7 linked regions of the Tribolium castaneum genome follow. The protein of the gene in region 5 interacts with the protein of the main gene of each other region in a biochemical or structural test. Links are inferred from orthologs where the notes say so. Each region holds a gene or a part of one and is shown on either strand. Other genes may lie near its edges. The genes, in order: Mitf, REG, Top1, nop5, lwr, cact and ftz-f1.

Region 1 (4,284 bases), on a different chromosome or scaffold from region 5:
AGTAATAAAAAATGCAAGTACCATTACGAGTACGAAAAAACTGTGATGAGTTTTTAATCATTTTAATGGTCAGTAGCGTTTTACAAAATCCGAAACTTTTATTTCATTGTCAATTTTGTTTGTTCTTTCTTATTTTCTCTTATTATCGTTATTAATAGCAAAGAGTTGGCCTTAATTTTTGTGTAACGTAATAATCGGAACTTAATGGTGTAAACCAGTGAATAAATGCGGTTGCCCAACCTGCGCAAACTTACCTCAGAGGTGCTGGTGGCGCCTGAGCTGAGCGCTGGGGACATGGCCACAGCCTCAGGACTAGGGCACGAAACTTGAAAGGGGTGCGAGTGAGCAAGGGACTGCTGCGGCATTAGGGGGGCGGAAGGTACCGGAGCACCGGCAATTCCGGGCGCGCTGTGCGTTTGCGGCACCGGATTTTGCAAATTGTTCAAGAAGTGTGCATTGCCCGGAGCTTGGAATGATTCGCTGAGATACTGCCTCACTTGACTTTTCTGTTTCTGTATCACATGGTACCTAGTAGGATTTGCTAGTTTTGTTTGAACTTGTAAAACTTGGGGAGGAACCTCTACCGCTAAACTGTGCAATGGCACTTTCATGGCTGAGGCTGGCGGTCTTTGTTGCATGGCTTGAGCTTGTCTTGCTCGTTCTTGGGCCTGTCTTTCCTGCTCCATCAGCGCCTGGTCGCGCATCAGCTGCAGCTTCAACTGCGTTCGGGACAATGGGGTGGCGGTTTTTAGGTTCGGCGGACTGGAACAAACGGGCAAAGTCACCCCAGTACGCACACCAACGTAAAAATTACGTTAATAAAACGCAAAAATATACGCGGAAATAACGTTTTTTTAGTAACTATTTAAACGATTTTGAAAATATAAAACCAGTAATCAACGTCAACAATTATTTGGTCAATAATTTGGTTTTTAGACAGCCGTAGGACGGTTAAGATTTTAATTGCTTTTTCTATTTTCAATTTTTTTAATATCAGTTTTAAAATTTTATAGCGATTGCCACAAGTAAATGCAAGAATAAGCTCAGTTTTTTACAACGTACGATGTTGTAACGTTAAAAAAACGTTATATGTGTGCTTACTGGGCTCACGAGTGCTGATTTCATTATTAAAACATAAAGTTAATGCGAGGCAATTGGTTCAATTACTTAAACAAATACTAGCTTTTTAAGACCTAATTACGCCGCTTCATTAGCAAATTTTTTAATGTTTATTTTTTTAATCCCAAATCTGATCAAAAATATCCACAATTTTAAAATTCATTATCTATGACATGTAATAGTTTTTGTGGTGTTTCCTGAACGGCTCGTATTGGCCGGGTTTATGGTTGGGAGTGGATTCGCCCAATAACAACCAATAAGAGCACTTTTTTCAAGTGTGACCCTAAACCGGCTCCAGGGCGGGCAAATCAAGAATATGTGTATAATATTTACTGTTGACGTCAATAACACGTCCCATTAAATATGCAGATGATAACATATGGGGAATTGCTCTAAATTGTGAGTCAGCTTAACAGGCACACAAAGAGAAGAGCGTTTCACACAGTCCCATTTATTACATTATGAATTCGCTTAATTGAAAATTTTCACACAACCGGGCTTAGATTCGAAACTATAATGGCATTGACAAATGGTAAAACGATAAGTAAACAATTTAATTAGCAAGTCCACATCTACAGCGTGACACAAAATAGTCAAATACTTATCGCGCTACATCCATTAATTAATGATGTTATCAAATATTTTGTTTAAGTTGAGTTTCGTTGCAATATCTTCCCAATTAATTAATTTCAGCAATCAGGATACGATTTTTCGTGTTTAGCAACGTTTTAAATAAAAAATTTTGAAATCGTTTATACACATGTGCGTAACAAGAAGAGCATGGGGGCGGGGTTAGTCGTAAAATAAGCACAATAAACAATGCGTACGAATTTCGATATGTAGTCGAGTTTCTAAGAAGTGATATCGAGAATAACATTATCTGTAATTGGAGAGAATAAGTTAAAAAGGTTACGGATTTTATGAGCGCGTAGAACGCATTGTTGAATTTGGGGTTTTGCGTCTATAAATGGCTTGTTTTGGGAATAAATCGATACCCTTGATAAATTTATTGGCGCGCTATTTGTCCGGCCGTTGCCAAAGCGAACGCACGTGTGCCAAAATGATGGTTCTTTTGTCCATTGAAACGTGTGGCTGTAAGAAATCGATTTGGGCGAATTTTATGAACAAACTTGACATTTTAATTTGGTACACGACAGCAATAACCAGTTCTATCTTGCATTGCACCATGGAAAATAAATTAGCATTCCTTCTCTAATTAAAGGGAGCAAAGCTGAACAGAGTGAGAAAAAAATTCTATCTCAAAACCGTACATCCTTTGATAAGCTCGCTGGATGAGTAATTTTTGCGGAGGAAATCCTTTAGCGCAGAAAGGTGATGTTTGGCAGTACTTCAAAAAGTTTAATATTAGTATAGTATTTGGTTTATTAATAGCAAGCGTAAAATTCTTCGACATGATTTTGTTTAGCCCTTTTCCTTGCCTCGGTGACACAACTATGCATTAAACAATTAAATCAGCGGCTCACGTGAGTTATTAGGCTCCGGATAATTATTCTTTGGCTCACCTTTCGTTTACAGGCATTGTTTTAGAAGTTAGTTCGTAAAACTCTTGATTTTTCGGAGTACCCAAGAGATCATCGAAATCAATCGCACTTTCTATATCGAAATCGTCGGACAAGAGAGCCGACAGATCGTAACCTAAATCAATACCAGATTCGGCCATTTTTCACAGCTCAATGCACAGATTTGTTTAGGATAATTAGGTGGTGTTGGTCGGTGGCATATCTCTTCTAATCCGCCGACGGACTGTTTGGACGACCGACAGCCAAACAGCAGCCGAAGTTTATTAAAATCTAACTCGAGACTGAGTTTCCCTCATAACAATGTCATGGACAAAGTCGAATTTGCGCACGCAACTCTCGCTTAAGTGGGATTGGAACGCTCCCATCCATTCAAAAATCGCGCTACAAGCAATTTTTGCGCGATTTATACTCAGCTATTTTACAAAAATGACACATTGCGAAAATGAAAACCATCCTCATTATTGCCTTGGCTACGGTTTTGGCCAAATTGGCCCACTTTCACGAAAATGGCGCCTCTTTAGACGAACAATGGGAGAAGTTTAAGGTAGAAAAAACAGCTCAATTCAAACTCAGCCAACATTGTTTTCAGCAATCGTACAATAAAACCTACTACGGATATCTCGATACTTCGCGGAAATTGGCCTGGCAATCCAACTTGGAGAAAATCAAGAAGCATAATGAAGAAGCCGACAAAGGGCTGCATTCCTATTACATCAAGGAGAATGATTTAAGCGACATGGTAAGCTTTCTTGTTATATTTCCGGATTGCAAATCAAACTTTTGCGTTACTGCGTATTCAGTTTTAATGCCAGCTTTGCCTTTCGGGGAAAGTCGTCTGAGCTCCTGAAAGGAGCTTTCAAAGCTCGCATACGAAAATAAATAGGTCGTTAGTTTGCTGCTTAGAACGTTATTTTTGTAGAGTACACAGAGCTATTTGCAAAAAATGGTTAAGCTGACCAAGAGCACCCACCGCAAGGTCGACCCTGAGGTGGTGGGTGACTTGTTCGAGCTCCTCCACCACATCCCTGAAGAAGTCAACTGGGTGGAAAAAGGGTTTGAAACACCCTCATACAATCAGAAAGACTGCGGCTCTTGTTACGCCTTCAGCATTGCCAGCGTCTTACAAGCCCAAATTTTTAAACAAACCGAAAAACTGGTACCCTTGAGGTAATTATTTTATGGTGGGAACAGAAGTAAGTTTGGATTGTAGTGAGCAGCAAATCGTCGACTGTAGCGTCTCCATGGGTAATTATGGTTGCGGGGGCGGTTCACTTAGAAACACCTTGCGGTATTTGGAGAAAGCCGGGGGGTTGATGACGTACAGTGACTACCCTTACTTGGCCAGAGTACGTTTTGTTAGTTATGTATTACTTGTTTTGACTTTTTTGTAGCAACAAAGGTGTCGCTTTGATAAGCACAGAGCGATTGTAAACTTGACCACCTGGGCGGTTTTGCCCGCAAGGGATGAAAGGGCTTTGGAACTAGCTGTGGCTAAAATCGGGCCCGTGGCAGCGTCCATCAATGCAAGCCCTCACACTTTCCAACTTTACCAGTACGTAATTATTTTTTTTGTTTGCTTATTTATAAAACTATCGCAGTTCTGGTGTGTACGACGACGTGGCCT
Region 2 (3,102 bases), on a different chromosome or scaffold from region 5:
TAAAAAACTATTGGGAATTTAGCGCTTTTTTTGATTCCAATCGATTCCCCGGATCATTTTGCATAGGTATGTTCGGTTTTTTGGAGTTTGATTTTTTCAATTTTTGTCGAGATCTTGGTCGATTCTGGGTATCCGGATCATTAATGAGCAATAACTTCGGAATTATTATATTGTGTTTTTTTCTCGGAAAGTGGAAGACTTAGAGCAAGCAACAAACAAAAAATCATCTCATAACGATTCTATTTGTTCGTATTCACTCTAATACCTACCGTTAGAAAACTCAGTTACGAAAAGTATGTACTAGTGTAGCATTTGGAATAAAAAGTCGTTTTATAATTTATTTATGAAATGTATTATTTTAAATAAAAAATAACCCCAACAGCTACTCACTGCTAAGTGTCACTACAAGTTCCCTTACAGATAAAAAAACTCACAATAACTTTATTACGAAAATATTGTATAATACTCATTGTCACGTACACACTTTACAAAAATCAAAATTCGAAAGATGCATTTATTTATCTGTTTTAGTACAAAGATTCAGTAGCATTAGTGGAACGTGGCTTCTTGATTTTGTCGAGGTTTTTAATAACTATGTCGTGAAGGGCACAATACCGATTTCGGATCTCGCACATGACCAACCACAAACTCAAGTACTCCTTCTCATCCAGCTCCTGCACGGCCCTTCGGTAGTCCTCTATGTGCGGGTATTTCGCCACTTTCGAGATGACCTTGGCTCGAGAAATGAAATATCGCGAGATTTGATCGAAAAACGCCGCCGCCTCCGATTCCACCGACTGCACCTCGGCCAGAGTGTCCTCCTGGATCGACACCCCGAAGTTGTTGCCGTCTTCGATTTTCGGAATCATAAAAGAAATCCACATTTTCATCTGCAAAAAAATTCACAACACTCGTCCCTCGTCTCGCAACGAAAATACTTTAACATAAGAGCATCATTTCTTTTAGAATATAAAATAAAATACAAAAAACAAGTGCCGCTTTTAAAATACGTCAAACACTAAATTACGTATGTAACTCCGAAAAGGCTCAGAAATATTGTTTTTTCTGAAAATTATCCGTGTTCACAAATTTAATTGTATTATCTAAATTTTTTATGATGTATTTGCTTGTCATTTAAACAATTAAAGGCAGTTAAGAACATTTTATAAGTTCCGATTGTTCACAGGAATGTGCATTGAGTAGGCTGTGGAATACTTGTGAGACTAGATCATTCAAATTTTGGCATGGTTACCATGCCAACTTACAGTATTGGAGTCTTCAACCAGTTTGCGGATGTGGGGCTTCACAGCCTCGACCAACTCGACCAGATGCTTGTTAGTGGGCACAGCCCCCGTGGGCAGGATCATGACCTTGGTGCCGTCTTGCGATATGCTATTGTCATACTTGGCCTTCTTGGCTGGAGGCAGGTCCGTGTGGCTGTTGAGCAAAATGGGGTCTGGCACCGGGATGTTCAGCTCCTGGTGCACGTCAGTGAATTTCCGATTTTTGAACTGGGGCGTTTCTAGCAAAGCGTTGAGCTTCACAATCGTCGCGGGGAACCCCTTAAGCAGCAACTCTTCGGCCTCTTTCTTCAGACTGTCTTTGTATTCCAACACCTGCGAAAACGCAACTATCAACCACACACAAGGGGGCTATCGAGACCTCGTGGTAGGCCGACTCCTCGTCCCAGCCCTCCACGGAAATGGAGCTCGAAGAGGGCATCACTTCAAATTTTGACCAGTTTTTGACAAAACTGTCACGAAATCGTGCGGAGCTGAATCGGCACGCGCCTTTTTTCCCACTCACCTTTTTTGCATCTGCCATAATATACAATTAGAACTAACTTTTGAACTGTTCACTTGAGTTGACTTAACCTAAATGTTTGGGGCAATGGCAAAAGAAAGGACGAGAATTGGGCCTAGCACCAGGACGCGATCCCCAATCCACCAAATCAACAACTAATTGAATCATGCAACAACTTGTGCCAGATTGCTAAAATTTGATCCCACTGATCTGGAATTTCTATACAACAAATATTTACAGCGTGATTTCGCGATTTGCGATTTAGGTTGGCAATAAAACTAGCGACCAAATTGGCCTCGAGTTGCCAAAAAAAAATATGAAACAATTCTATAAGTTTTGGTTTATCTGGTTAATTGTTAAAAAAAATAAAACGTAAAAACAGTCCGCATGCAAAAAAAAGGGCTAACGCCAGGACGCGCTCGTTGATTCACCAAAGTCACTGAACGCGAAATGCGCGAAAATTTCGAGTTTGAATTGTTTGACGCCCCTGTCTTTGTTTTTTGATTGAAAATGTCAGAAGACAATCGAAGAGTTTCCACTCATGTCGTACGAAAATTCATAAACTCGGCTATTTACGTGGAAAAGCCGCTTTCGGCGAATGTGTCAAGTGAAAACACTTCGATTGCGGGAAAATCCTCGCTTGAGGATTTTCCGGAAGTAAAGACCAAACGTTGCACTTGTTCTGTAGACCAGAAGACGTGTCCTTTTCATGCCGATTGTCCTCCTATTTTGAAAGAATCAAGAAAAGTGCTCAAACTGCCCGAAAGTAAGACCAAAGTGTCGCAAAATTCCAAAGTCGAAATCAAAAAATTGATCAAGAAAGAAGACGAGACGAGGAAGAAAGTTCAGAAGCAGAAAATCGTCGATGAAGCGAAAGTAAAAGAGAAGGAAAAGGAAAAATTGCTCGAGCAAGAGAGAGATAACTTTAGGAAATGGTTGATGAATAAAAAAAAATTGGAGGAGGAGGCGAAACGCAAGAAAGAGAAAGAAGAGGAAGAAAAGCAGTTAAAAGAGTTGGAGAAGGAGAAACGCCAGTTGGAAAATCAGCTCAATTTTCAGCTCTGGTTAAAAAAGAAGGAAGAAGAGAATTTGGAAAAGAAAATTAAGAAACAAATGGATTTGATCAACGAGCTGGAACGCAAAGAAACACAGTTGAAGGACAATGAAAAAGCGTTCAATGAGTGGCTGAAAAATTCCAAACATCGGCAAAAACCAATCCCTTTGAATAAAGGACTTGAATGTAATTTACTTCCAGGTTTAGGGCACGTTTTAATGATTTTTTTCAGCCCTTTGTTCGTC
Region 3 (4,258 bases), on a different chromosome or scaffold from region 5:
GTTTTCGCTGAAAATACAATTGAACATTAATGACTACAAAGATTACAAATTATTGTCCTTAGCAATCGTATGATTTTTATTTACGTAAAGACGATAAACTTGAATGAAACACCTACCAGAGGCAAATCTTCATCGCTGTCTTCTTCCTGCTTCACATCAGCAGTGCTATCTTCAAATCTTGACTCGTCCGATTTAAACTGAGACAAATTGTAATCACAGCTGCTCGCAGCTGAAGCATTTTTGTCGTCGACTTCATCTTGAGACTCGGGCTCTTCTTTGATGATGAGTTTGTTATCATCTTCATCGACCGAATCCTCTCTTGCGGAATCTTCTCTTCCCACGTCGTTTTCATGTTTTGAATGGTTCTTACTCTTCTTTTCTCTCTCATCGTCTGACAGTAAAAAATTGTTTAATCAACATTCCATTCGCGTAAAATGTGTAAAATTGGATTTTACGGTTAGTTAAAATTATTGTCACTTGTCCCAATTGGATTTTGGCCAAGTTTTAGAAAATTGGACTCCGAATTGTTTAATTTTTATTATGTAATGAACCGATTCTTTTAATTTATTTCTTCCAAATCGTAACAAGATACGAAAGTTAATCTGCTGGTAATTAACAACTATCTAACAAATTGTTGCATATCAAAGAGTAATTGCTAACCCAATTACAGAGAATAATATTTATATCTACAGCAAATGCAAAGAAACCTTTAATTCACAATTTGTTAATTAAATAAACATTTTGACTAAATAATAAACTGTTGCCAATTATGATCTAATGATGGATTAAGTGATTTTTTTTTATATACTAAGGACTCCATCACACATGAACAAGATATGATTAATTAACATCAACGAGATGCGGGACAATCACAAATATATCATTTGATATTTTAAAACACTGATAAAAAATGTCAAGGTGCTTAAAACCGCTCATTTTAGAATAACAAACGACATAATAAATTAATTAAATCAATTATTTCAATAATTACTGAAAGTTGTTTCGGGTCTTCGTGTATTTATTCCTCAACAAAATGAACAAACAACCTACATATGGTCTAAATCTAGTTATTGCAAAAATAAGAATTGTTTTCGAACATTCGTAGTTTGCATTTCAAAGTGAGACGTGAGCTTGGTTTTTCAATGTCTTGGATAAAACACGTTTCTTAAAGGATGTTACAAAAATTTTAAAATTCAATACAATGTCTTCGTTATTTCGCATAATATAAAGCAAAAAAATGCATGAGCAGCTTCGAATATTGTTTTTGTTTAAATAATGCATAAATAAGCGTTCAAAAACCGTATTAGTCCTGTCGGTGAGTGACTTAAAGACAATTAAAATTACGTACCAGCTTGCGTCAAAAAACATTGATTTTCGTCCACAATTACGAAGATGGTTACATTTTTCAAACATGCCTTATCTACATACCTGCAAGCCATTACAGTGATTAAAAACTCGAGTAGGTTTTTATTTACCTCATGTTGAAAATAATGATTCGAGCGTTCTAAAAATTTGTATTTACAAAAATTTTGTCAAATCAAACTGACTCGAAACTATGGACACAATAAAACAATAACAATACGATGAAACTGTGCTCAAACTTAACATTTTTAGTTAAAGAGTGCAAGGTTTAGGCCTAGAGCAAAAAATAACACCTACAAAAACTGACAATAGCCACTACTTTTGTTAAAATTTTAGTTAGGAAAATTTGGATACAAACCCTTGGCCATTTTTGCAGATGTGTTTTATGCTTTACGCCCTCTGGAAATAATTTTTTAGCAAATGAGGTAAAAGTTAAATTACCGTAGGATTTCTCCGATTCTTTCTCGCTCTTCCGCTCCTTGTTCTTGTCCTTCCGGTCTTTATCTTTGGAGCTGGAATGATGCTTGTCCTTGTCTCTGTGCTTGTCTTTGGAGCTGCTGTGGCGGTCCTTGTCCTTATCCTTCGAGGAGCTGTGCTTGTCTTTATCCTTGCGCTCCTTGTCTTTCGAGCTCGACTTGTGGTCCTTATCGTGCGAGCTTTTGTGCTCCTTTTCCTTGTCCTTCGAGGACTTTTTCTCGTCCCGGTGCTTGTCCTTGTCGCGGTGTTTGTCCTTGTCGCTGCGCTCCTTGTCCCGACTTGAGGACTTGTGTGAACTGTGGCGTTCCTTATCTCGGTCTTTGTCCTTCGAACTGGAGCTATGCCGGTCTTTATCCTTCGAGCTCTTGTGCTCTTTGCTTTTACTTTTCTCCTTGTCTCGCTCCCGGTCCTTGTCTCTGTGCTTGTCTTTATGCTCCGATTTGTGGCTCTTCTTGTCCGAGTAGCCGTTTATGCCGTTCACTTGGGCCGTATCGCTGTTATACTCCTTCATCTTGTGGCTCTGCACCAAAAAACGTGCAAATTATAAATGGAGCCCCCCTCGATTTCGCCCCAATTGAACCGAAAGCAGCGAAAAGAAGCCGTTTAAATGCGTAATCTCGGTTTATCGCGAGAAAATTCTAGACCTGATGCCACAAACGTGGGACTTAGTCTCTGACGCCATTTTGGGACTTAGAAAAATTTCGCTCGAACGCTGTTAGAGCACGAGGAAAGCGCCCTTATTTCACACAAGCGGGAAAATGTGGACGAGCCGAAATTCGCGGAATTAAATTCTAGGCGAGATTTTGTACTTACAGGACTGGAATCTTCCCCATTTGCTCCGTTTTCGACTTCCATCGCTTCACAGATTGAACGAGGCAAACACTTAGAATCCTCGTTGGGGAAACGCAGCGAACGCTTTTATGACAAAGTACGCGATTTTGCGTAGTGCGCACGCGCCGCACTCAGAGGCAATAACCTGTAGCGCGCCAGGATTTGAATTTCGTGCGTTCAACTTTGAACTTGAAAAGTAGACGAATGTCACAGTCAGCTGCTTGAAATTTATTGCAGAGATTCGGGAGAAAGTTCATGGCTTTAATCGATGATGAGTCAGAGGATGAGCGCACTTTTGGGTTCATGCACAGCTTTTGCGGACCGTTTTTTGGAATTAATGTTTAATGGGACGGTTACGTAAAGTATTGTGCACTTGTTGCATTGTAATATTTCGAACAAGATCATCGAATACACTTTTTTTACCTCCTCCCACATAACACGTGTAAATTTAGTTCGAGCTGAGAAAAGCTACCTATTGTTGTTTCAAAAATTTCTTCTATTATTGTCAGGTTTACCTGACTTTCTGGGAAAACTCATTCGAATTGTTTCCTTTTGTTACCTCTTTTAGAAATAGCACCAGAAATAGCTTACTCCTTACATCAAAGAGAAAAATGTTCCGCGTTCCACTTTAAGACCAACAATTTTTAAAATATTTACTTAAAGTGTAAACGTTTTAAAGCGCCTGAAAGCAAAACTGCAATGTCAATCGACTTCGGGTTTTTTCTATTTGGTAAAAAATTAAACAGAGATTTGATTTGTGGCATTATTTTCAAATAAGACTCGGCTGACGTCTTGAAAACCGAACTTCTAGAATTTATTTTCAGCTGCTATTTTTTTGTATGCTTTAAATGGCATTTAAAATTATTTAGAAATGCTATTCAGTTCTACTTTTAGACAAGTAAAATCATAAATGTAGCAATTTTTTATAACTATTTACTGAAAACGTATTGATTTCAATAGAAACGAATCCTGAAAAATATGAGATTGACATCGCCCACGATAAACGCTTGAATATTGAGAATACCGGAACTCTTTTCAAATATATTTCAGAAAAGAGGAATAAGCTTCAAATATAATAGATAAAATATTTGTACAATGTATACAGTGAGCGGCAAGTCTTCTAAATTTAGTTGTCTACTTAATATATTTAAAAGAAAAACGAAAGAACTGATAAAAATACTCTTAACAAAAAAAGTTATTAAGATTTTGTTTGAAATCTATTTCCATGATCATTTGGTGAAATAACAAATTTATTGTGTTGTTTTTTGGTAGTATTTAAACGTAAGATAAGATGTAACATGTAATTTATTGAAACGATCAAAGAAAATTAGAGGTTTTCATAAAAAAAATGTGTCGATAGCGACGTTATTCGAAAACCAAGACAAAAATTTTAAATTCTGTTTAATAAGATTATTCCATATTTTTGCGGCCCACTGTACAAGCAAATTATAGGTGGAATCTATTTTTTTAATATTTTTTTTGCTTCGTGTTCAGGTTCATTATTTTTTTCGAACTCGCAAATTCCTTAAAACGGCACACCTAAGAATAATAAAAAAAAGGAATAATCCATAAAGCAGTACTATAGCAG
Region 4 (3,879 bases), on a different chromosome or scaffold from region 5:
CGCTCTTGGATGAAGTAGTTACTTGTCACCCTCTTCTCCATAATCAAGTACTCGACTTACTAATCAGGTTGTTTGAATCCAAGCAAGACGAACTGGAAATTTTAGTCCAAGTAAGTTATCAATTTTTTTACGATATTTTTCAGTTTTTTTTTTGTTAGCTTGAAATGCGCAAAATGGTCCTTGACAGAATGGTAAATTTGCTATGTGCTGGATGTGTGGTACCCGTTGTAAAGTACATAAAACAGTGTTGGCAAAAAGGCGACACGGACATATCCCTGATTCGTTACTTTGTAACGGAAGTAAGTTACTTTGTTAAAAATGACCGGAAAATGCAATTTTTGTAGGTTTTGGAGACCATCGGGCCCCCTTATAGCTCCGAATTCGTCCACTTATTTATGCCAATGGTTGAAAATGACGAAATTACGGGAACAATGAGAGGAGATGGGGAGAACGACCCCGTGTCTGAATTTATCGGTGAGTGGGAAAACGTGGTAAATCAATTTCTTATTGTTTGTTTTTAGTCTATTGCAAAGCAAATTACACCGCTGTTGTATAACAGCACCTTAATAATAAGAATGTCTATTATTGTAAAAAATAAAAAACCTTCCGCTAAATTATTCATCTTCCTTGGAAATGCTCTTCTTCTTCTTTTTCTTTTTTCCACTTGTTGGCTCTTCAACAACTTCAGGCGGAGCTTCGCTCTCGGACTTCTTCTTCTTCTTTTTCTTCCCAGGCGTCACCTCAGGTTCTTCCTTAACTTCCGCTTCCACCTCTTCCTCCGCTTCCTCTTTCGCCTTCTTCTTCTTCTTTTTCTTCTTCTGGCCCTCACCACTGTCCTCATCCTCCTCCTTGATACTGTCATTGGTCTCATCCGTCTTGACCTTTTTCTTCTTCTGCTTGGGAGTCTCCTGAGTCGTGTTCAACTCCTCCTTCACTTGCTCCGACTCTGACCTCTTCCTCTTCGAAGTCGAAGGTAACGTCGAGTCGGCAGCAGCAGGATACTGCTGAACTTCCGAAACCCCTTGATATTTCTCAAACTTGGCCTTGGCTTTCGCCGTCCCGCTAATTCTCCTCAAATTCCCCTCTTCCAAAATTCTAAGACGTGCTTCCAACTTGGCTTTGTGCTCCGCCCCAAGCGTGAAATTCCCGTCTTCGCCTAGAGCATCGACTCGAGTTGCGAGGGCTGCTTTAGCCGCCAACATTCGAGACATTTTCCCCTTGTTTTTGGTGCTACTTTGCCCCACTAACTGGGCGTGGTAGATCAACCCGTACTTCGGGGTGTCTTTCTTGGTCTTGAGGGCTCGGAATAGCGCCTTCTCAGCCCCCAAAATCTGCACCGTGGAGGCCGGATGTTTGGCCAAGTTTATCAAAGACCCAGCGTGCGAAATCAAACGAGCGCCCACCAAATCCCCAACCAACGTTGTCAGGTTTGGGGCCATCGCCATCATACGGGCCTTCAAATAGTCGTACAACTGGGTGCGATAATTGGAAATTTCTACAACTTGGTCGCACAAGTTCTGAATGTTTAAAATATCGTCGTCGGATATCTCAGTACCCATTGATATTTCAGCTGCCTCCTTGACTTTCTCCTCAATTTCTTCGGGGAGAATGTCGGAGAGGTCAGAACTGGCGGTGTTATCACGCGTTCCGATGATTTTAACAGTTTTGACGAACGCAACGTTATCAGTGATTATTTTCCCAAGCTCGGGAAAGTGCCAACCGTACCATTCGCGGCACCTCATTATGTAGTTGTTGAGTTCTTTATCGAGGTCATCAAGCAACGAAACCGCTTGGACTATCATTGTATCAATTTTATCAGGCGAGAATTTTAACTTGTACCGTGATAAGGAATGAGCTAAACCTAACGCCATCGCGGTCATTTCCTTCTTAGGTAACCCCGTTATCAAACTGTCCAATTGCGACCGAATGCACCGCATCAGCTCCTGGACAGCTGTATTCGAAACGCATTGTAAATTGAACTTCTCTTTAATGGCAGACCCTAACTTGGCGTCGGCCACAAGCAGCTTGTCCTGCAATTCTTGGTCGATGTGCTTCTTCAGCACCTTCTTCAAGCTTTTCGAGACTTTGCCCTCGACGGCTGCAGTCGTGGCAGCCAGGGCTTCAGTGGTATCATTGAACTTCTCGAAATGTTTCAGCTTCACACTAAAACAATTTTACTAATAAGTTTGCATTTTGAAACTAGGACAGGTCGTACATTTTTCCTGCCGACTCGGGTGAATCAAATTCATGGTACAAATTGTTAACTTCTTTTAATTTGCTTTCATCCAGAAGCTGAAAGCATGGAAAATTTGAGGTTAAGTTTGTCAACAACTTTACTGCAGAATTACCTTAAACAGCGCGTAACCTGCCGCTGTCTCAAATAAGACCAACATTTTTCACTTTGTATTACAACAATTTATATGAAAACCCACCAATTTTTAATATTAACGATAAAAACCGGCAACAATTAGAAACCATGAGGTCTAGCGCGTCGGCGAGATTGTCGACTCGCACGAATTCCCCAAGAATTACCAACTCTTGGTTCTTTCCCCCACGTGCCTTTCCAATGTAAATCTAAATAAAGCAGATTTAAGATTATTTGACACCAGTTTACAAAAACCCAAGTTCTTTTTAGTATGTGTGGGAGTTGTAATTAGTAACTGGCGTTAACTGGTTACTTGTAAAAAAGTTTCAGTTTCACCTACATTCGGTTAAGTCGATCTTAACAACAGGTCGAATTCGGGTGCATTGTACATATCACGTGATCAAGTTAAGATGGCGTTTTGTTGTTGTTGTCAGCTGATTTGCGAGAAAACAGAAAATTGTTATTTGAAAATGAATTAAAAGAAGTTTTTTTTGCTAAAAATTAAAATGTCAGACAAACGAAAAGTCCTCGTAGCCAAACGAAAAAATGAGAGGAATCCTAAAATTTTTCCGGAAAAAATTGTTCAAGAGGATAGTCATTTAAAACATGGAACGAAACGTACCATTAGTGTTACGCCGAAAAAGAACATAGCTAATGAAAGGTTAAAGAGGCTTAGGACTAGCTTAAATGAAGAAGTTTCAAAATCTGCTCAATCTGTACCAAAATTTAAAGACAAGAATTGTGTGCGGAAACGACCAACTGATTCAGTGCAACATGAAGTGTCTACAAAACTGTTTATTAAGGAAAGTGCCTCGAGTTCAGGGGAATGTTCGAACAGTGAACCTGGAACTCCTTTCATTTTTAAAGAAGAGTTTCTAACACAAACGAATGTGTTTACCACTGAATCTCCAAATCCATTTGCTGTTGGCTTTCAACAGACAGCAGTTGTTTCAGAAGAGGATATGGAATGGTGTCCTGTATACTCTCTTGATTTAATTATTCAGTTTAATATTCTAGTTAATTGTCTTTTTAGACTGATATTGAGGAGTCCAAAAGCACAAGTGATAATACTTTAAATTCACAAATTACGAGTTCTTGTCAGTTTTATATTGTGGTTGACACGAATATATTCTTATCAGAGCTGAATATAATTGCTAACATTGTTACATTAGCTGTTAAAGGTAAAGAAATGTGTAACAATGGATAAATATTTATCACACTTGTTATAGGACCCAGGGAGCCAGTCATTTTCATTCCCTGGATTGTTACAGAAGAGTTAGACTTTATAAAGGGCGATTCAAACAAACGTAGCCTCAGACAGAAAGCTCAAGATGCCATCAAGTTAATAGAAAAAACTATGAGTAGTAAACATAATAGAATGAAAGGTATACTGAAACAATGTTTCACGTAGAAGTGTTTGCATTTTTTTATTATGACCATTGAACTTTATTTTTATTCTTTAACATGAGTCGCTCTAGTAAACAAAAAATTCACGGTACTTTTTTCATTGGATA
Region 5 (3,959 bases):
TAAAAATTTACCAACAATTTTTTTAAATTCATTGCTCTGAAAACCTGATGCTAATCAAAGCCAGTAGATATACTAAAGTAGCGACACGGACCTTGACAGGGCAACAATAACGATTATACACTCTACAGATGGCTCCACCATCAAAATTCAAAAACGTACGTCAAAAATGTCAAGATTTTTTCACGTTTGAAAAATTGGTGAATCAGAACAATGAATTCGGTGATCGTCTTTAATTTCACCCTGGTTATTACAGTTTATGTGTACAGATACCATGAAACCTTCAAACTTGTGCTTCACTCACGTAAAAGTAAATCAGATCGTCCCTAAATTCAACTGAACATTGCAATGAGAAAGGCTTTTAGAATGCGCAGAATACAGCAACTCTTATGGACATTTCGAAGAAGGTGCTGGCGCTTCAACAGTGAATTCATTCCTTAAAAGAATTTGAACTTTGTATTTAACGAAAAAGCCAAAAACACGTTTCAAAATAATAGTTGTTTGATTTAAAAAAATTGTGATACTTACATTTCTAATTTTAATAAACTCCTCTCTAAGTGTTTTTACAGTTTATCGTATGTAATTACTCCAAGATTTTAAATTGGTCGATTTATTTTTTTTTAATTAAATTTAATTTTTTCCCTCAACACTATTAACAACTGCTATGAAACCAAGACATTTTTCGCAATAAGAATAGAAAATGTTTTCAATATTACCCGAGAGGTAAACCGCAGAGGAAATCAGTGTACAAAATTGAGTAAATCAAGAAATTTTAAGGAAATCACTTTAAAAATTTAGGGAAAAATCAGAAGGAATCATGATTAAATTACAGGTGTACAAAATTTGGGGTACGGTTTACACCTCGATATTACCTAAGAAATAGAAATAATACAACCTGAATTTCTCTTTATTATTTAAATGTTGCATACCATAGTTGCTGTAAATAAGTGGCTATAAAAAGTCCACCAAACTTCGATGCGCTACAATTCCCAGATTTAGATGCATTAAATTTTGTGAAACGAAGGTCAGTGTAAGCAGAGCGGTCTTAAATTCTTTCCCATTAGGACAGAATCTAATAATTTAGAAGAATTTTCAAGGAAGTATTGTTTAAATCTACCTGAAATACTTATTGAAAATTTGGTATCTTAGAAATTTCTCTTTCAAGTTGGTACCTAACACTTTATGTTTCTGAAACAATTTTTGTTTGAATGAGTTTCCAGTATTCTCACACAGACGTGCTTCGTAATGTGGACGACTTTGAACAGTCTGGAGGCCCTTTTGTTTAATGTTTTTGGTGTCGATTTATTATTTACGTGATTTAAGCACAGGTTTGAAAGTTCCATGAAATCTGTTCATAACCAATAACCACAGTAAAACTACAGATGAACGCCAGAATCACTGTGCTCTTTACCAATTTTTCAAAAGTGAGAGAATCTTGACAGTTTTGACGTATGTTCAAAATTACTGACAATTTGGCGAACCTTTAAAATTACAGCGTTATTACAAAAAATGTCGAGCCTTGGAAAACTAAACTGCCTGTTTAAATACATTCTCGATTTAAATCTATCATCTAATGTGACCTTTAACGAATATCTCTTTAGAGCATCCCCTTTAGCAATTTCATTTAGTGAAGATTAAACGTAGAAACAGAGACAAAACGCACTTACTAAGGCTTTTCAAGGCTACGCATTTTATGTAAATAATGCGGTATATGTCGAATTTCGATAGTTGCGCCCTCTCTAGAGTATATAATCGTTATTGTTGCCCTGTCAAGGTCCGTGTCGCTACTTTAGTATATCTACTGGCTTTGATGCTAATGGATCAACTGCGCCCTCTGGTGACATTAACGGAACTATCGAGGACAATAACGCTTTATTTGTACTAATTTGTATTTCGTATCCTAACCTTTAGATGTCCGTAGTGTAACCTTGTCCATTTATTGTCTTAGTGCCTTTTCTTTACGAAACTAAGTTTTCATTTTCATGGATTACTAGATACGAAATTTCCTTGATCACGTGATCACAATATCCACAGCACTCTTGACTACGTCAAATGTAAACACCCCGTAAAAAAACCACTTACCAGTAGATTGTGTAGGCCTCTGCTTGTGCTGGATCTTTAACATTGGGTTCATTCAACAAGTCCTGAATTCCGAGTAAAATCTGCTTAATAGTAATCGCCGGTCTCCAATCTTTCTCCTCGTCTAACAACGACAAACACACCGTACCTGACGGATACACATTTGGATGGAACAACGGTGGTTCAAATTTACATTTTGGGGGAATGCTTGGGTACTCATCTTTGAACAACATGCGTAATTTGTAATTTCCACCCTCCCATGGCGTCTACACAACAATGCGATAACCCAACAATTACTAAACAATGCAACAAACTTACCCCTTTTTTACCAGGAATTGAGCACTCCCAGTTCATTAGATTTAGAGAGCCATCTGGGTTTTTCGACGGTCGGGCCACAAATCCCTGCGGAGAAATGGATTACATGAGGGCAATTTTGTAAGGAATTACTCACAAAAGGATGTTCTTTGCGCCAAGCTTTGCGTTCTTCGGCGAGACGAGCGGGAGCAATTCCAGACATCCTAGAACTAAAAATCAGGCTCTACCTCAAAATTATCGCACGAAATGACCAAAACGTACTCTAAAAGTGGGCACTGGGGTATTTAATGGGGCCTTATTCAAACTCTAAAGGAAAATTTAACGGGCTTCGGTGCTTTCTTGACAGTTGACAGACAAAAACTGGGAAAACAGGTAGGGGAATTCGCGCAGACGCGACTTGTGTTGGCCACCCTGTCGCCGATTATTTGTTCCAGAACAATTTATTTATTCAAACTTTTCGTGTATGATTTTAAACAAATTTAACGAATACAAAAACCCGGATTTGTGTAATAATTATTTGGCGGCAAAAACATTGGCGCGAATTTGATTAGTTCGACGTCACTTGCTGCAAATCAACTTTTGCCTGGATCTTGGCATTTTCTTGGTCAAAATCCTCCTGAATGAGTTTCAAGGCTGCAAAAAATTAATAATTAGGTTCAATAAACCGTAAAATACAAGGTGGCTCAAAATTGACGATTTCGGAGTTCAGAACACTAAAGAGAAATTAATTCAGTAGTTCAAATACAGAAAAAAATAAAGATTCGGGGCTTTCCCATAAAGATACATTGGTTTGAGGGTGCACTTTAAATTGCGTTTTCTTCAAATACAGGCTAAAGGTTTCAGTGCTTATTGTTATTTATGGTAAACTACAGGCTGTTCCGTCTAAACCTTACTTTAGAAGTATTGAAAGCTCTAATAAAGAAATTTTTTAAAAGTTGGTAGTCAATCATAATCCGTTAAGTTCTGCCAATGAAAATATTTTCAAGATGGCAGCATTTCCGGTTATACCGGAAGTCGCTGTTAACTTTCTTATTTTAAATGAAAAGCTATGTTTTTCACTGCGTTTTTGGATTAGTTGAGTTATTTTAAGAGTTTTCCCTATACCTAAAATTTACCGTTTTTAGGATATTTAAGATTTTTTGAAAATTTTTGGATTTGCACCTGTCACTTAAAAAATTGGTAACTCGGTTAGTTTAGCGATTTGGAAATCATATTAGGAGAATTAAAAAAGAAGGCCTTTATCTGTTCTTTGGTGTGTTTAAAATTGAAAATGAAGTTAATAAACCCAAAAATTTTAAGGTTAAGTTTGGACAATTTCAGGTACCTATAACTTAATTATTTGTTATTCTTTTTTAGAAATTTGAAAACGCCAAAGGAAAGTTCTAGGCTTCCTCTTTTAAATAAGCTGAAAAAGATTTAAAATCTTTTAAAAGTGGTAGAGTTATCAGTTTTTGAACTGGAAGGTGCAAATCCAAAAAAAAATTAAAAACATTTTGTAATATTTTGTAAACGAATAAATTTAGGTTTAGTGAGAGCTTATGAAAAGAACCTTAAAATAACTCTAGTAA
Region 6 (4,149 bases), on a different chromosome or scaffold from region 5:
TCATTTTTTGTGCAAATTAAGTTGGCAACATTAATATTTTTTCAGATGATTGTGATAAAAAATCTTTTGGCACCACTGGCAACTTCTATGTGTCTGTTGCAAATAAATGACAATTGACTATAAAATTGTCACTCTTGTTAAATAAAAGTTTCTTAACAAAAAAACACAGTTATGTTAATTTAAATTCAATGTTGCCAACTTAATGCAAAGAGCCTATGATGATTTTTAAATTACAATGGCAACACTAATCATTGATCAATGTCGAAACAAAGACATGCTATAAATTATTATAATTTTAAAAAATCTATTGGCATCACGGAGTTTGACATACCATACTGCCAACTTAATTTCGAAGTAAATTTGAAACTGTAATAAGAAAATTTATTGGCAATAGTGATTTATTTGTCACAAATGAATGACAACTTATTACAGTATTTTACGACCAGTGTTGCCAAATTAAAAATTGAAGATTTGAGGCTAACTTGACAACCTAATTATTTCCAGTAACTCCTAGATTACTTAATGTTGCCAACTTAATTTCATTGCAATAATAATTAAACACGTGATACAACTACTTTTTACGATTTTTACAAAAGAAATCTATGTTTAATTGGCAACTCTGATTAATGTAAAAAATATACAACAGATATGAGACTTTTTTAAATTTTAAAATTTAAAATTTTTAAAAATAAGTAATAAAAAAACTATGGTAACACCGATCGTAAATAAATGTCAATTTACTATTAAAACTGACAGTCTATTATATTGCCAACTTAATTTTAAGTGATTTTATTAACACATAGAAACGCAATTATGTTCCAAAATTTCGTTAAAAATAGGTAAATAGAAAATCATTTCACCAAAATTTATTAAAATTTTGAGCTAAAAATTCATTTTTTTTTATGCAACACTTTACTAAACCAAGCCAAAAAATCACAAAATAAGGCTAAAATGTTATTTTATTTTACCTTTTCTAAACGTTAGACAATGTGTTGAGTGAGAAATGCAATTTTTTCACAAAACTATTGGCAACAATGTCTGTGAAAACAAATGACAACTTACCAAACCATACCTACTATTTACCTGTTTCTCTCTATTTTAGTATGAAATAAGTTGGCAATATTTAAATGCCACCTTCTTAAATAATTGTGAAAACAAACTTCTGGCAACATTGATCCACAATTGTGCCGCTTAACTTCAACAATGTTGCCAAATCAAAACTTCCGATTATTATTTAATGTTGCCAACTTAATTTTCCATATTTTCTTTAAATTTTAATCAATGTTGCAAACAAAACATTTTGTTAATTAAGGATAATTGCGTTTTCAGTGTCAACTCATGCCATATGCAAATTGTAATTTTAAACGAAAAAATGTCAAAACAAATAGAATTAATGAAGTCTTTACGAGGACAAATTTATTATTTACAGAATCAAGATTAACTTGTTTGTGAAATGCAACTAAGTAAGAGACCTATAATACTACTGAAATTAAATTGGCCACCCTTTATTGTTAATTGAGTTGGTAATATTAATTATTTTAAATAATTTTGAAAAAAACCCGAAAAACCTTAGACAACACTGATTCACGACTTGGACCGCTTAATTTTAACAATGTTGCCAAATTAAAACTTCAGGTCTTATTTAATGTTGCCAACTTAATTTTCCGTTTCGATGATTTCACACAAGATTAATTTTTTTGTAAAAGCAAACTAAGCATTGAAATTAAATTGGCAACAATGATGATCAGACTTTTTTCATTTTTAATAAACAAATGAAAAAATCTATTGCTACAACTGATCGTAAACGAATGCCAATCTAACTATGACATTGCCAACTTAATTTGAAATTTGTCAACTTTGATACGTTTCCTAAAACGTCATAAAAAATTGTTATGAGTTAACCACGAATTGTGACGTTTAAATGTGGCAATCAGTGTTGCCAACTTGTTTCCAAAATCATAACCGCCTGGATGGTGGAGTAAAAAATGAAAGTTAACCACAAATTGTGACGTTTAAATGTGGTAATCAGTGTTGCCAACTTGTTTCCAAAATCACAACCACCTGGATGGTGGAGTAAAAAATGAAAATAGCAAAAAATTTCGCTGCGCCACTGTTTGATTCATTTCAACTGGTTTGAAGACTGAATGAACTAAGCGATAACAAGTGGGTCAAAGGTCGTCCGGCTATCATTTAGTTTTTCCCTTCGATAAACTAAAGACTTACGTATCGCCATCCTCATCCTGTTGGAAATACTGTTTCCAGAGGTCGTCTTTGGCAGTCGTTGGTGTTTCAACAGGTGGTTCCTGCACTTTACTCTTAGCACAGGAGAGATCGTTCCAGTCCGGATTTTTGATATGGAGTCCGGAAAAACTCTCTGACAAGTCGACGCCACTGTCCAGACGCATGTAGTTCTCTTGTGGTTGTTCAATTTGGGGCAACTCCTCTGTGATTTTCTCCTCGGAGCGGAGCTCACCGGAAATGAAGCCGCTGTCAAGGGCGCACTTTTCCTCTTCGCTCACAGCGCCTTCATCTGGAACTGAGGGGATTTTCTTATCCTGTTTCCCGGACATTTTCCCGATAATAAGCGAACACACTTAAAAGTACAGCAGTCTACACAAAATGGCTACAAGTCCGCACGCACTACTTTCTAATGGCGGCCCCCAAAACAACACGCGACTTTTTGCAAAGACAGCCGTGAGACACTTGGGACTTGGACCAAGGGGTGGTTGGAAATGGTTCGACGATGGTTTTTTCGATTTTGGGTCGTTGGGTTCGTTACGTCAACACGCGAAAATGGATTCTCGGCGACTGGTTGAAGAAATGAACGCGATCGCGTGTGGTGGACACCCAACACAAGTTCGGGATTCCCCAGACATGCGCTGTGACGTGGCGCCAGTTTAAATTAGAAGAGGGGAGGATTTGACCGATTTTCGAGCGCCAGGGTGGAATGACACTAACAAATTGACGAGTTTTTTCTATTTTTACGATTGGTTTTATAAAACCGTCAAAAATGACAAGTAGATATGCCAAATTTGACAAATGTTTAAACCCACTTTACACAGGAGCATTTATGTGATGGCCTAAAAAACGCAATGATTTATTTAACTTCTTTTAGATTAAGAAAATAAAATTGAATCACGGTTCATTTCATTACTAAGAATTGTTTTTTTTTCATTTTTTTAATTATGTTTGTTTGTCATTTTTGACATTTTGTTGACAATTCGTTTTAATGTGTTCCAAAATTTTAAATTAATTTGTTCGACACAAATACTCATTAAATTTTGAAAAACTTTATCGTAACTTGTCTTTATTATCAACTCGGTATATCAACAAATTTTTGTTAAAATATCAAAACTGACACAGCCTACTAATATCAGATGACAGTTGATTAAGACCCTTTTACAGGGGAGCATTTTTATGATGAGAAAATTTTGAGAAAATTTGTAAATTTGGTAAATTTAAACTTTGCGAAATTGGTACCATTGGTAACTTTGGAAGAGATAAAACTCAAACTACACTTGAGTCCGGTTATAACGAACTCCGAAAATGCATCAAAATCAGTGTTTTTTTAGCAGTTATTTTTACTTTATGTGAGATAATAAAAATAACAATATTGTAAAAAAACATGAATCCTTTGGGAAACACTAATATGTACAGAGTGATATTTTGGATGTCCGAATAGGGGATCTCCGAAACCAAGAGGTTTAGAGAAAAACTAGTGGCACATTTTCGGGTCCGTTTAAAAAATTCATTGCTTCCTTATTATTAAAGATACACATCTGAAACAAAGACACTATCCAGACACTTTTTTACAGAGAATCTAATAATGTTATCAGCGATTTTTTTCAACCATTCGTTTAACTGTAGGCGGCTGTGATATTTTTGAAAAGCTTATTTTTTCTGATTTGATATGTCTACTTGTGTAATACATTATTTTTAAATATTAAAAAACATAACATTTCGCTTTTTCTTTATAGTAGGCCATGAAAAAATTTTGGAAAGATTTTGAAATCGTCTTTAGGGCATTTGAAAGAGAAAGCTTAGTTCTTTTCTTTACTTTTTTGAGATTTCCACAAAAGTTCACAAATCCAAATTTTTAAGGTTAAGTTTGTTGAACGTCAAATAAAATGCCCTAACATTGCCAAAAAA
Region 7 (3,500 bases), on a different chromosome or scaffold from region 5:
ATGCGACAACGACAGCTGGCGGCGCAAACGCTACGGGGAAGCTCTCTCGGTGACGCCATGTACAGCAGCCAGCCCGGAACATCACCCTTCGCCAACATCCACATCAAGCAAGAAATCCAAATTCCGCAAGTGTCATCTCTAACATCGTCGCCCGACTCGTCGCCGAGCCCCATCGCCGTCGCCCTGGGCCAGGTCAACACCTCCAACCTGGTGCAGCAGGCGTCCAGCCAGCAGCCGGCGCTGCAGATCGTCGGGGTGCCCGGGGGGCCCTCCTCCATGGTGATGGGGCCCGACAACAAGCTCTGGGGCTCCGCCAACTCCACCACCACCTCGCCCCACTCGCTCAGCCCCAAGGCGTTCCAGTTCGACACGGTGGTGCAAGGGGGCAGCGCGCCGCCCTCCAGTAAAGTGTCGCCGCTTATCAGGGACTTTGTGCAAGCCATCGACGATCGCGAGTGGCAAAACTCTTTGTATACTTTACTCCAGAACCAAACGTATAATCAGTGTGAAGTGGACTTATTTGAACTTATGTGTAAAGTTTTGGACCAAAATCTGTTCTCTCAAGTCGATTGGGCGAGGAATTCTGTGTTCTTTAAGGATCTCAAGGTTCGTATCCCGAAAAAATGCCTCAGTTTTAAATTACCAACCGTTTGTGTGTTTAGAGGTATGTTAAGGTTGTTCACATTTTTCACGCATTTATTATTTTCACATTCAACATTCACAATTCGTTAGCTTACAGTTTAGCTAAAAAATGTCATAAATCAGACTGTCAACCCTTTATCGTAAAACCCTGTTTTGGGGGGATTTTGATTGTGTCAACATTACTCAACAGGTGGTTGGTAATTTAAAATTGAGTCTTTAGTTTGCCCTTTTACAGCCCCGAAAAAAATAATTTTTAACGTTTTTATTAATTACGTTGAAGAAAGTTAAGTCAAAACATATGAAGACTTTACTTTGCATTTCTAACTCCAAAAAGCTACAGAAATAAACAGTAAGGCTTCGGAAGTTCTCTTCTTTAAATGTACGGACGTTTAACATTACTTGAAAGTAATGTTCTGTGAAACCTTTAAATTTAAAAATATTTGCTGATTCTGTGCTGAAAATACTTGCGGGGTTTGCGCAGCAAATATTTGTTTTTTACCTTTTTAGCAAAACTGTTTGTTTAACAAAATTGTTTGATTACAAAATGAAATATATTCTAATCCTAATATTACAGTGAGACCTCGATACGCCGAACCTATATATATCTTGAAATTTCGTTCGAAAATTATTTACTAAAAGCAATAAATGTATAATTTTTCAAAGCTTTTTAGGTTGAACATATTTCCGGTTCATCTGAGCAGAAATCTACATAAGTCGTTTTTTTTTACTTCCCACCAATTTCATTTCTGCGGTATGAACTTTTAATAAAACAACAACACTTTCAATAAAATATATTGTAAATGCTCTGGAGACTGTGACGAAATTTACACAATATTCAGGCCCTGGCCTATGAAAACTTTTCGAAAAAAAAAAAATAAAAATGTGTTATTCTTTAATGAAAGATTTTTTTCTGTCAACCTAAACACAAATGAATAAAATCAATGTAGTAAAACCTACAATTTTATTTCATATTTACATAAAAAATTGTGATAACTGTGCTAATACATATCGACTGTATCTTTTTACATTTTATTATTTTACTCCAAAATAGTACATTTTCCAAAAGACTTACAAGGGACAAACTTGTTTTTTAAACCAAATGGGCTTTCAAATTTCAACCAAAGCCAATGATTCTTAACTAATTGGTGCCATAAAGCTATAAAACAATTTATGTCAAGAAGGCCCTCAAAGTCCCCTTCAAAAATGTTCTACAACATTAAAATATACATTTTTAAAAAAGACTAAATGCCAAGTTTTAAAAAAAATGGCTGAGAATTTTTAATGTCAAAAAATATAATCTGAATTTTTTTAGGTAATTTGTGGAGGCTATTAGTAAAAAACAAGAAAAAACAAATTGTTAGATCTATTAGCACTATTTCAAATTTTGACTGTTCTCGTGTTTCCTATTTATTTATAATTTATTCGTATTTTCAAATAAGTATTTAGGCTTTGTGTTTAACTTTGCCCATACTACAAATTAATCAAAAAAAAATCAACTTTTTTTGTTGTTTGCAACACTTCAGCAGGATATGGTGTTTGTTGACAAATATTTTGACATCAGAAGATTATTGGTTATGATTCTATTTAATTTGCATGCAGATTGAAAAGCTGTTAACAAAAAAAGGTCTACAAAAATTATACCATTTAAAAATAAAATTCAATAACTTTTGATAAGTTTCTTTAAGTTTGAATAGCTTAATTCATTCATATTAAGTATTACGGCTTATTACAAATAACACCCTGTACAAAGTGTTTTAATTTTCCGCTGTTTTTTAATTGGGTTCCAGGATTTTGATAATAACTTCTCGCATTTATTAAGTTGTGGGGCCCATTTTTGTTTTTATTTTTCACATTATGATGATAATAATAATACTTTGATAATTTTAAAGTTGAAAGAGAGGGTTTGGGAGTAAAAAAACCGATTGATTTTTCGGTCGAAAAGTTCAAAAAATAGAAGAACAAAACATTTTTATTATAATCATTTTTATATTTTTTTGACAATTATTTTTGTTTTTATTTTTCACATTATGATAATAATAATAATAATAATAATAATATGATAATTTTAAAGTTGAAAGAGAAGGTTTGGGATTAAAAACACATTATGATAATAGTAATAATAATAATAATAATAATAATAATTTGATAATTTTAAAGTTGAAAGAGAAGGTTTGGGATTAAAAAAAAACGATTAATTTTTCCGTCGAAAAGTTCAAAAAATAGAAGAACAAAACATTTTTATTATAATCATTTTTATATTTTTTTGACAATTATTTTTGTTTTTATTTTTCACATTATGATAATAGTAATAATAATAATAATAATTTGATAATTTTAAAGTTGAAAAAGACGGTTTAGGATTTAAAAAAACAACAATGAATTTTTCGGTCGAAAAGTTCGAAAAATAGAAGAACAAAACATTTTCATTATAATCTATAAACTATAAAACTATAAAATCGAGAATGTAATTAAAAGAGAATTTTTAAACACCTACAAAGAACCAACTATTTCAAATTTGGATCTAATTTCTTTTGCTTAAATGCCGATTTCATAATATACTCAAAAGAATATAAAGTAACACATATGTGAAAAAAAAAAAAACAGAAAATGAAAAAATAGAACCGAAAATTCAATAAATAATAATCTATCGACCTGGATATTTTCAAGTTTAATGGTTAAGTAATGCCGAAACATGTAGGTACTTTACCTTTATTAAAAAATCAAACAATTTTTTTATTTCTTTTTTTGGTAATTTTTTCGTTGCAAGTTATATTTGTAAACATAAACATGAAATAAAAAAAAACCTTTTGCCAATAAGTTTGTAACCCAGTTTTTGGTAATTAGCACAAATTATTTCT

Evidence for each region.
Region 1: the proteins of lwr (region 5) and Mitf form a complex in vitro, tested with the Homo sapiens proteins (2 studies listed by BioGRID). The link is inferred for Tribolium castaneum from reciprocal best matches to the Homo sapiens genes UBE2I and MITF.
Region 2: of the proteins of lwr (region 5) and REG, one has a biochemical effect on the other in vitro, tested with the Homo sapiens proteins (2 studies listed by BioGRID). The link is inferred for Tribolium castaneum from reciprocal best matches to the Homo sapiens genes UBE2I and PSME3.
Region 3: the proteins of lwr (region 5) and Top1 form a complex in vitro, tested with the Homo sapiens proteins (2 studies listed by BioGRID, with this or other methods). The link is inferred for Tribolium castaneum from reciprocal best matches to the Homo sapiens genes UBE2I and TOP1.
Region 4: of the proteins of lwr (region 5) and nop5, one has a biochemical effect on the other in vitro, tested with the Homo sapiens proteins (2 studies listed by BioGRID). The link is inferred for Tribolium castaneum from reciprocal best matches to the Homo sapiens genes UBE2I and NOP58.
Region 6: of the proteins of lwr (region 5) and cact, one has a biochemical effect on the other in vitro, tested with the Homo sapiens proteins (2 studies listed by BioGRID). The link is inferred for Tribolium castaneum from reciprocal best matches to the Homo sapiens genes UBE2I and NFKBIA.
Region 7: of the proteins of lwr (region 5) and ftz-f1, one has a biochemical effect on the other in vitro, tested with the Homo sapiens proteins (2 studies listed by BioGRID). The link is inferred for Tribolium castaneum from reciprocal best matches to the Homo sapiens genes UBE2I and NR5A2.

What each region holds. Positions count from the first base shown.
Region 1 is NC_087403.1:4,082,622-4,086,905, reverse strand, and holds the start of Mitf (microphthalmia-associated transcription factor), read right to left. Parts: upstream 2,801-4,284; coding exon 2,643-2,800; intron 763-2,642; coding exon 255-762; intron 1-254. Other genes in the region: CtsL4 (procathepsin L), read left to right, coding at 3,103-3,204, 3,250-3,399, 3,580-3,827, 3,871-4,006, 4,052-4,212, 4,259-4,284. UniProt on the Homo sapiens protein: Transcription factor that acts as a master regulator of melanocyte survival and differentiation as well as melanosome biogenesis.
Region 2 is NC_087395.1:26,223,515-26,226,616, reverse strand, and holds REG (proteasome activator complex subunit 3), read right to left. Parts: upstream 1,801-3,102; 5' UTR 1,723-1,800; coding exon 1,663-1,722; intron 1,617-1,662; coding exon 1,266-1,616; intron 891-1,265; coding exon 528-890; 3' UTR 501-527; downstream 1-500. Other genes in the region: coiled-coil domain-containing protein 34, read left to right, coding at 2,314-3,043, 3,090-3,102. UniProt on the Homo sapiens protein: Subunit of the 11S REG-gamma (also called PA28-gamma) proteasome regulator, a doughnut-shaped homoheptamer which associates with the proteasome. 11S REG-gamma activates the trypsin-like catalytic subunit of the proteasome but inhibits the chymotrypsin-like and postglutamyl-preferring (PGPH) subunits.
Region 3 is NC_087398.1:8,304,785-8,309,042, reverse strand, and holds the start of Top1 (DNA topoisomerase I, mitochondrial), read right to left. Parts: upstream 2,801-4,258; 5' UTR 2,695-2,800; coding exon 2,653-2,694; intron 2,360-2,652; coding exon 1,804-2,359; intron 1,629-1,803; exon of another isoform or gene 1,481-1,628; coding exon of another isoform or gene 1,476-1,480; intron 1,429-1,475; coding exon of another isoform or gene 1,349-1,428; intron 392-1,348; coding exon 117-391; intron 8-116; coding exon 1-7. UniProt on the Homo sapiens protein: Releases the supercoiling and torsional tension of DNA introduced during the DNA replication and transcription by transiently cleaving and rejoining one strand of the DNA duplex.
Region 4 is NC_087394.1:30,826,772-30,830,650, reverse strand, and holds nop5 (nucleolar protein 58), read right to left. Parts: upstream 2,561-3,879; 5' UTR 2,394-2,560; coding exon 2,349-2,393; intron 2,293-2,348; coding exon 2,216-2,292; intron 2,164-2,215; coding exon 615-2,163; 3' UTR 557-614; coding exon of another isoform or gene 522-556; 3' UTR 501-521; downstream 1-500. Other genes in the region: TH1 (negative elongation factor D), read left to right, coding at 1-110, 159-299, 345-474, 522-556; transcriptional protein SWT1, read left to right, coding at 2,872-3,342, 3,399-3,546, 3,595-3,750. UniProt on the Homo sapiens protein: Required for the biogenesis of box C/D snoRNAs such as U3, U8 and U14 snoRNAs. Part of the small subunit (SSU) processome, first precursor of the small eukaryotic ribosomal subunit.
Region 5 is NC_087399.1:9,254,058-9,258,016, forward strand, and holds the start of lwr (SUMO-conjugating enzyme UBC9-B), read right to left. Parts: upstream 2,801-3,959; 5' UTR 2,653-2,800; intron 2,601-2,652; 5' UTR 2,594-2,600; coding exon 2,528-2,593; intron 2,479-2,527; coding exon 2,395-2,478; intron 2,343-2,394; coding exon 2,080-2,342; intron 1-2,079. Other genes in the region: transmembrane inner ear expressed protein, read right to left, coding at 2,939-3,024. UniProt on the Homo sapiens protein: Accepts the ubiquitin-like proteins SUMO1, SUMO2, SUMO3, SUMO4 and SUMO1P1/SUMO5 from the UBLE1A-UBLE1B E1 complex and catalyzes their covalent attachment to other proteins with the help of an E3 ligase such as RANBP2, CBX4 and ZNF451.
Region 6 is NC_087395.1:1,382,329-1,386,477, forward strand, and holds the start of cact (cactus), read right to left. Parts: upstream 2,801-4,149; 5' UTR 2,571-2,800; coding exon 2,224-2,570; intron 1-2,223. UniProt on the Homo sapiens protein: Inhibits the activity of dimeric NF-kappa-B/REL complexes by trapping REL (RELA/p65 and NFKB1/p50) dimers in the cytoplasm by masking their nuclear localization signals.
Region 7 is NC_087394.1:11,117,257-11,120,756, forward strand, and holds part of ftz-f1 (nuclear hormone receptor FTZ-F1), read left to right. Parts: coding exon 1-606; intron 607-3,500. UniProt on the Homo sapiens protein: Orphan nuclear receptor that binds DNA as a monomer to the 5'-TCAAGGCCA-3' sequence and controls expression of target genes: regulates key biological processes, such as early embryonic development, cholesterol and bile acid synthesis pathways, as well as liver and pancreas morphogenesis.